2 linked regions of the Sus scrofa genome follow. The protein of the gene in region 1 interacts with the protein of each later gene in a pairwise test. Links are inferred from orthologs where the notes say so. Each region holds a gene or a part of one and is shown on either strand. Other genes may lie near its edges. The genes, in order: ALDH16A1 and DERA.

The links.
Region 2: the proteins of ALDH16A1 (region 1) and DERA interact in binary tests that used the Homo sapiens proteins (3 or more experiments, as listed by UniProt). The link is inferred for Sus scrofa from reciprocal best matches to the Homo sapiens genes ALDH16A1 and DERA.

The regions. Positions count from the first base shown.
Region 1 is NC_010448.4:54,532,246-54,536,061, forward strand, and holds part of ALDH16A1 (aldehyde dehydrogenase family 16 member A1), read left to right. Parts: intron 1-2,904; coding exon 2,905-3,007; intron 3,008-3,816.
Region 2 is NC_010447.5:56,703,553-56,707,981, reverse strand, and holds the start of DERA (deoxyribose-phosphate aldolase), read left to right. Parts: upstream 1-1,502; 5' UTR 1,503-1,611; coding exon 1,612-1,642; intron 1,643-4,429. UniProt on the Homo sapiens protein: Catalyzes a reversible aldol reaction between acetaldehyde and D-glyceraldehyde 3-phosphate to generate 2-deoxy-D-ribose 5-phosphate. Participates in stress granule (SG) assembly.

The sequences.
Region 1 (3,816 bases):
CCATATGCCAGAAAAAGAAGAAAAAAAGAGAGAGAGGGATAATTGAATGGTGGGGAAGAGCTCCCGCTGTGTCTTGGGAGCTCTGGGACATGGGTTAGATCCCCAGCCCTGCATGGTGGGTTAAGGATCTGGCATTGTCACAGCTGCTGCTTAGGTTGCAGTGGTGGCTCGGAACTGATCCCCAGCCTGGGAGCTCCATATGCTGCAGGGTGGCCAAAAATGGGAAAAAAAAAAAAAAATAGGACAATGAGATGATCTGGAAATATAGTGTAGACTCAGCTAAGAGGATATGGGATGGAGTACAGAGAGTTCCCATACTCGGAGGCTGGTTAGAGATGAAATCCTGAAACAGCAGTAGTGTGATAACAGTTTATATTTATTGGGTGCTTTCTATGTGCCAACCTCTGTGCTTAGCATGATCTCATTTAATCCCCAAAACAGCTATGAAAGGGGATTATTGCCTTGAGCTCACAGAGGTTTGAAGAGTTAAGTAATTGGACAACTGTCGTGGACATAGCTTTAAAAAAGGTGAAACTGGGATTTGAACCTAAGCCCTGGGATTGCAGAGCGCACACCACCCCCTGCTTTCCCCCAAGCTCAATCTTACAGTCTGTGGGCCAGACTCAACAACAGATGTGTTTTCTTGGCCTGAAACCGATTTTTTTTTTTTTGATGTGAACTGGTAGATAATGGATTCCATGTAAACATCCGGGATTCCAGCTTCTCTTGAAAATAAAATTCCCAAGTTTGGCAACCTTTGCCTCACATTCCCTGACAAAAATCATCTGGACCCAATAGCTAACTGGCTCTTTGGGCAGTGCGTGAGTTCCTTTTCCCCACCAGGCCCTCTTCTCACACCAGTGTGGCCTGCCAGGACCCTGTGGAACATTCTTTTGGTGGTTTTGTTTTTCTTTTGGGGGAAAATTTTGCAAACATCCACAGAGTACATAAATTAGGAACTCCCGTTTACCCATCACTCAGTGCCAACGAGTGTCAACACTTCATCCAATGTCGTGTCTCTTTGGCCTCTTTTTTTCTGGAATGAGTTAAAACCCAGATGTCACGTTATTTTCCCATAAATATTTGAGTCTTCATTTCTGACTGATAAAGACTCACTTTGTAACATAACCACAAGGCCATTTTCACATTAACAAGCACTCTTTTTTTTTTCCTGAGTTTTATTTATATATTTTCCTTTCTCAGCCACCCTACGCCACAGCTGCAGCAATGTGGGATTGACCCCACACCACAGCAGTGACCTGAGCCACCTCAGTGACACTACCAGGTCCTTAACCCACTGAGCCACATGGGAACTCCTACGTTTTTGAAAGAGTTGGGGATATACAAACATGAGCACAGGGGCTTGTGCATGCTGCAGGTGTGGCCAAAAAAGGGGGGGGGGTTGTTCCCATCATGGCGCAGCGGAAACGAATCTGACTAGGAATGATGAGGTTGCAGGTTCGATCCCTGGCCTCGCTCAGTGGGTTAAGGATCTGGCATTGCCGTGAGCTGTGGTGTAGGTTGCAGGCGCCGCTCGGATCCCAGTGGCTGTGGCTGTGGCGTAGGCTAACAGCTGCAGCTCTGATTTGACCCCTCGTCTGGGAACCCCCATATGCTGCCAGTGCAGCCCAAAAAAGAAAAAAAAAAAAAAAAGAAGAAAGTCATTTCTGTTCAAGAAGATCATTTGTCTATGGGGAAGAAAAGGTTTTATTAATCCTTTGTTTACATTCTCCTGTATAAAAGTCAACAGGACCACCCTTGTGCATTTCTGGTGGGAATGTGAAATGGTGCAGCTGCGGCTGAGACCAGTTTGGTGGGCCTTCCGTAAGCTACTCAGGGCATTGCTCTGTGACCCAGGAGCACCGCTCTGAGGTATACAGGCCCCAAATAAAGAAACACAGGTATTCACACAAAGACTTGTGCTCAGATGTTCATAGCAGCCTCATTCACAAAAGCCCAAGGCGGAAATGACCCCAATGTCCATCCGCTGGTGAGTGGATGGATAGAATGTGGTCTCTGCCGACAAGGGAATAGCATCCATCCATAAAGAGAAATGAAGTTCATGGGAGTGCCCTGGTGGCCTAGCAGTTAAGGATCTAGCTTTGTCACTGCTGTGGTGCAGGTTTGATCCCCAACTAGGGAACTTCCGCATGCCATGGGCCCAACCAAAAAAAAAAGAGAGGGAGAGAGAGGAAGTTCTGATCCATGCTGCCATGTGGATGAACCTCAAAGCGGGCACACAAAGTCACATATTTGTCGGATTCCATTTATGTGAAATTCCAGAATAGGCAAATCCGTAGATATACAAAGTAGATGACTTGTTGCCAGGGCTTGAGGTCACAGTAAGAGGGAGAGTGCTTAATGGGTACTGAGTTTTCTCTTGGGGTGATGGAAAAGTTCTAGAATGAGATAGTGGAGATGGTTGATTAACACTGCGAATATACTAGGAGTTCCTACTGTGGCTCTGTGGGTTATGAACCTGACGAGTGTCCATGAGGACTTGGGTTTGATCCCTGGCCTCGCTCAGTGGGTTAAGGATCGGGCATTGCTGTGAGCTGTTGTGTAGGTCGTAGACGCAGCTTCTGGTGTTGCTGTGGCTGTGGTGGAGGCCGGCAGCTGCAGCACCTGTTCAACCCCTAGCCTGAGAACCTTCCATATGCTGGGGGTGCAGCCCTAAAATGCGAAAGATAAAAGAAGTGAATGTACTAAATGCCCTGGATTGTACATTTTGAATTGGTGAATGTTATGCATTTTTTTATGTCTATGTGTATTTTCCTCCTACACAGGTAAATACCTGATGTAGCAAAGGGAGCAGGTATCCCCCTCCCAGAGGACTCTGGGTAGGAATTGAGCTCCCCCAGCTGCCTCTCAGACCCCTTTCCAAACTGTCTCTGCCTCCCCCAGGCCTGGCTGGACACCCAGGACCGGCTCTTGGGTCACTATGTTAACGGAAAATGGTTAAAGCCAGAACACCGGAGTTCAGTGCCTTGCCAGGATCCCATCACAGGTATGCCATGTGCTCCAGGCTTGGGAGGGAGAGGGGTCAGGGGCCCCAGACGTAGCCACCAACAGCACCCCATTCTCTTTGCCCCCTTAGGGCAGGGGGTAACTGGTGGGAGAAGGCTGAGATTTCTGGCTCCTCTTTTGTTTTTCATTTTTTAATGTTTTATTGAAGTATAATTGATTACAGCATCCTAATCATTCCTGTTGTACCGCAAAGTGTCTGGCTCCTCCTGATAACAGTCACCCTCAGTATGGCTCCAAATCCCTGTGGGCGCTTTTTCAAGTCACCGTCTATTAACTCTCCCCCTTGGGGGAGTTCCCGTCATGGCTCATTGGTTAACGAATCCGACTAGGAACCATGAGGTGGCGGGTTGGATCCCTGGCCTCGCTCAATGGGTTAAGGATCCGGCGTTGCCACGAGCTGTGCTGTAGGTCACAGACTCGGCTTGGATCCCACGTTGCTGTGGCTGTGGTGTAGGCCGGCAGCTACATCTCCGATTAGACCCCTAGCCTGGGAACCTCCATATACCGCGGGTGTGGCCCTAGAAATGGCAAAAAGACAATAAACAAATAAATAAATAAATCTCTTCCTTGGGAGTTCCCTGGTGTCCTAGCAGGTTATGGATCCAGTGTTGTCACTGCTATGGCTCAGGTCACTGTTGTAGTGCATGTTTGATCCCTGGCCTGACAACTGCTGCATGCCACGGGTGCAGCCAAAAGAAATAAATAATAAATTAAAAATTTTAAAATTTAGACTTCCCACTGCGGCTCAGCAAGGTAAGAACTTGAGGATGCATGTTGGATCCCTGGCTT
Region 2 (4,429 bases), on another chromosome or scaffold:
ATCCAGGCTGTCAGGGTGAAGATAAAAATAGGTAAAATGCTATTCTATGTATGAATGGGATATGGACACATTCAAATTGTTCAGCAATGGCTTTGTGCTTACAAGGCTGAGAGGCAGCTCTGTGTAGGGGAATAAGACTGGGATTGCTTTTCCTATGGAGCCAGTAATTGCTGTGTGAAGCCGACAATAACATAATAGCTTTAATTTGTTGAGCACCTACTATGTGCCATGATGTGTATTGTACTAGATGCTTTACACACATACAACTTTGCAATCAAATCTATTTTGATCAGTCCCATTTTACAGGCAGTAACATTCCTAGAACCAACTAGAAATTGAGTGCAACTGCTCATGTATTAAGCATTTGGACCCATTAGGAATCTGCCCAGTTTCCACTACACTGGAATGCCTCTATTTAGAACATGGGTTGTCTGTAGGTAGAACAATGCAGATATAATACATACTTGGTAGGTTCGTTCTGACACTGTCATGCTACAATCTCTCTGAAAGTACCTGGCATAGTAACTGGCTCATCCTAAACAAGTCATAACTAAGGGTTTTCCTTCTTTCAGCAGAGTGGAGCAGCTTCTGATTGTGAGTGCAGAGTTGATTAGTAGCCTGTGTTGAGTGACTTCAGACAACTTAACCTCCTGGTCAAAAAGTCAGATTGAAAAATTTCCTAATATCACAAAATCAGGATTTTATTTATTTATTTTTTATCTTGGTTGTGGCCTATGGAAGTTCCCAGGTTAGGGGTCCAATCAGAGCTGCTGCTGCTGTCCTACACCCTGGACAAAGCCGCTTGCGACCACAGCACCAGATCCTTAACCCACTGAGTGAAGTCAGAGATTGAATCCACGTCCTCATGGATACCAGTCCGCTTCGTTACCGCTGAGCCACAACGGGAACTCCATAAAATCGGGATTTTAGAACTCCAAGATGTTGTCAAGGTGCTTTCTTACAGATGAGGAAAATGAAGCTTTGAAAGGCAGCTGAAGGCCCAGTGTCACACTTAATCGCTGTCAGAGCAAGGCTGAGACCCCAGGTCTTCTCACTCCTGGGCTTCCTAGTTTTCCAGGCCACAGAGCCGCTTCTCTTCAGGAAGCCCAAATTAGAAGTCGCAGGGATCGGGCCCCAGTTTGCCAGGTGGCCGCCCTTACAAGGGTCAGGGATCACCTCTGCCCCTTCACGTGGGGATCCTCTTCCCTCTTGTTCTGTAATCCCACGGCAAAAAGTTTCCAAATGTTTTTACTCAATGCATTCGGCAAGTATTTGACCATGAGTTCTGGCAGCATTATTTGCAGGAGTTATTGCTGGGGTTCCTCATTAACGAGAGAGAACGAGGAAAAGGGCGGCGGTATTCCTTCGCCAAGCAAAGGGCCTGGGATAACTAATGTGCCCAGGGAGCTGCCAGGGCCCTGGCTCCGCCCCCGAGGGGAGAGGGCGGGGCGCGCGGCCAGGCGGGAAGAGGTGGCCCTGGCGGGGCGCGCGGGGGGCGGGGCGAGACGCACGCGCGCGCAGTCGCCGCGGGGCGGGCGGAAGGAGGAAGGTGGAAGGCTACGCTGAGGCTGGCGGGCGCCTGGTAGTTCGCTGTGGTGCGACAGCCCAGCCATGTCGGCGCACCAGCGGGGCACGGAGCTCGGTAAGGGCCCGCGGTCGCCCCCTCTCCTCTTCGTCGCTCCCTGTCCCCTGCCTCCTCCCGCCTTGAGCCGTCAGGTGCCCTGGACGGGGGCCTCGGGGGCTCGCTGGGATGCTAGACACAGGCGGCATTTGGGAAACAGCCCTTGGGCACGTGGACCTCCTTAAGCCTTGGCTTCTAAAGTTTAAATTTCTTTGCTTAAGGAATAGGAAAGGTTTGGACTTACTTGTTCCAACTCAGTTCATCTTCTAGCTCCGTGGTTGCAAACAACAAAACAAAACAAGAAAGCGCAAATCCCCAAGATCCCCAGACAAACCAAATGAAAGCCTCCCTTCCACACTCCTAATAGTGCGATTTAATGCTCTGTTTCTATAGTTAATTGTTATCACAGCTGTATCAGAGTGGATGTGCTGTTGGAAAAGTTCTCAGGTGTCTAGGCTATATTAACAGCATAAATTGTGTGTGATTTTAGAGGTACAAAGATTTGTAGAAGTGCTTGGATTATTTCACCATTTTTTCATTTCATTGATATCAAATATTTCTGGCAAGAAAATTAGTTCTGATTTCCTCAAAAAATGAAAAATTTGTAATTCAAACATAGCAAAACCATGACATAGCCAAAGGTTAAGGATCTCAGTTTAAGTATTAGAGTTTGCATGTCTGTATCTTGGACCTTTAGTTTAGCTGTGTGACTTTGGGATATAACTTAATCAATCTATGCTTAAATTTCTTTATTTATAAATGGTCATAATAGTAGCACTTACCTCATAAAGTGGTTTGGAGTGAGTACCTAGTAAACTATTATATACTTGCTAATATAGTGAGTACATTATATACTTACCAGGTACTTACATTGTATTAAGTAAATATAGAATACTATTATAAGGAGAGTTCTGTTTTTAGGGACCAATTTGGAGAAAATTAGCTATAACATGTAACATGTAAAGGTACTTTTTTCTTTCTTCTTTAAAAGTGACTGTACTAATTAAATAGTCTAGACTTCATGAGATGGTCCAGAACTTTGTTGAATGATAAACGCTTGTTTTTATAAAGGTAGGCGATTTCCTCACCAAATTGATTCTCCTTTACTCACTGCCCTTTAGCAGTGAGATTATATTTTAAACTCTAGTTCTAATTTTGGAATGTGGACTTTAGTAATAAAGGAGTTCCCTAGATTGGAAGATCCAGAAAGAGGATGGATGGGGCAGAGAGATGGGCTATGGGTCTTAGTCATCTTGGTATCTTCAGGGTATGGCAGTGTGACTTTGTACACCATGTGATGCACTGTTACTTCCCCCACACTTAGAAGTTTGTTTTTCTTTCAAGAAATACAATTAAACCTTTTGCCTTCTTTTTCTTACTGAGATTTAATTGGCATATAACATTTTTACTTTTTTAATTTGCAAGAATTAGAATCACATCCATTCATTTGTTGAAAAGTAATAGTATAGACAAAAGCCAGTTGCTATATAAAATAATAGTAAATGTAATTTTTATACAGCTATTTAAATGGTCATATTTTTGTTTTATCTTCTTTGTTTAAATGAAATCAGATGTATTTCAAGAGTGGGTTTTTTGTTGTTGTTGCTTTTTAGGGCCACACCCACGGTATATGGAAGTTCCCAGGCTAGGGATCGAATCGGAGCTACAGCTGCTGGCCTGTACCACAGCCGCAGCAACTCGGAATCCGAGCCTACTGCAACCTGCTGTAGCTCACAGCAACACCTTGCTCCCCAACCCACTGAGCAAGGCCAGGGATCGAACCCTCATCCTCATGGATACTAGTCGGATTCGTTTCTGCTGAGCCACAATGGGAACTCCCAACAGTGTTTTTCTTTCACTGGTATTAATCATTAATCCAGACAGAGGTTTAGCTAAAAATGCTGGTATAAGTTATTTGAAATATTTATGTACTAAGGAAGAAATCATTATTCATTTATGCAGTATATCAGTTGATACCTTTAACAGAGTTTTCTAATTACAAGACTTTTAAAATAAATACTGTTAACTTTAAAAAATGTTTTTTAAATGTTTTATTGAAATATAATTGATTTACAATGTTGTGTTAGTTTCAGGTATATAGTAAAGTGATTTAAAGTGATTCAGGAGTTCCCGTAGTGGCTCAGTGGTTAACGAATCTGACTAGGAATCATGAGGTTGTGGCTTCGATCCCTGGCCTTGCTCAGTGGGTTAAGGATCCGGCGTTGCTGTGAGCTGTGGTGTAGGTCGCAGACACAGCTCGTATCCTGAGTTGCTGTGGCTCTGGCATAGGCCAGCAGCTACAGCTCCGATGAGACCCCTAGCCTGGGAACCAACATACGCTGCGGGTGTGGCCCTAGAAAAGACAAAATACCAAAAAAAAAAAAAAAAAAAAATTGATTCATTTATACACATATATAAATATATAAATATATTTACATTCTCTTCCATTATAAGTTATTATAAGATATTAAGTAGGTTTCCCTGTGCTCTACAGTAGGTCCTTGTTGATGATCTGTTTTATATATAGTAGTGTGTATATTTTAATCCCGAACTCTTAATTTATTCTCTTCCCCCCCTTGGAAATGAATTTCTCTTCCCTTCCTTTTTTTTTTTTAATCTTTTTAGGGCTGCACCCACAGCATATGGAGGTTCCCAGGCTAGGGGTAGAATCAGAGCTGTAGCTCTTGGCCTACATCACAGCCAAGGCAAGGCCAGATCTAAGCCATGTCTGCCACCTACACCATAGCTCACAGCAACGCCAGATCCTTAACCCACTGAGTGAGGCCAAGGATCGAACCTGAGTCTTCA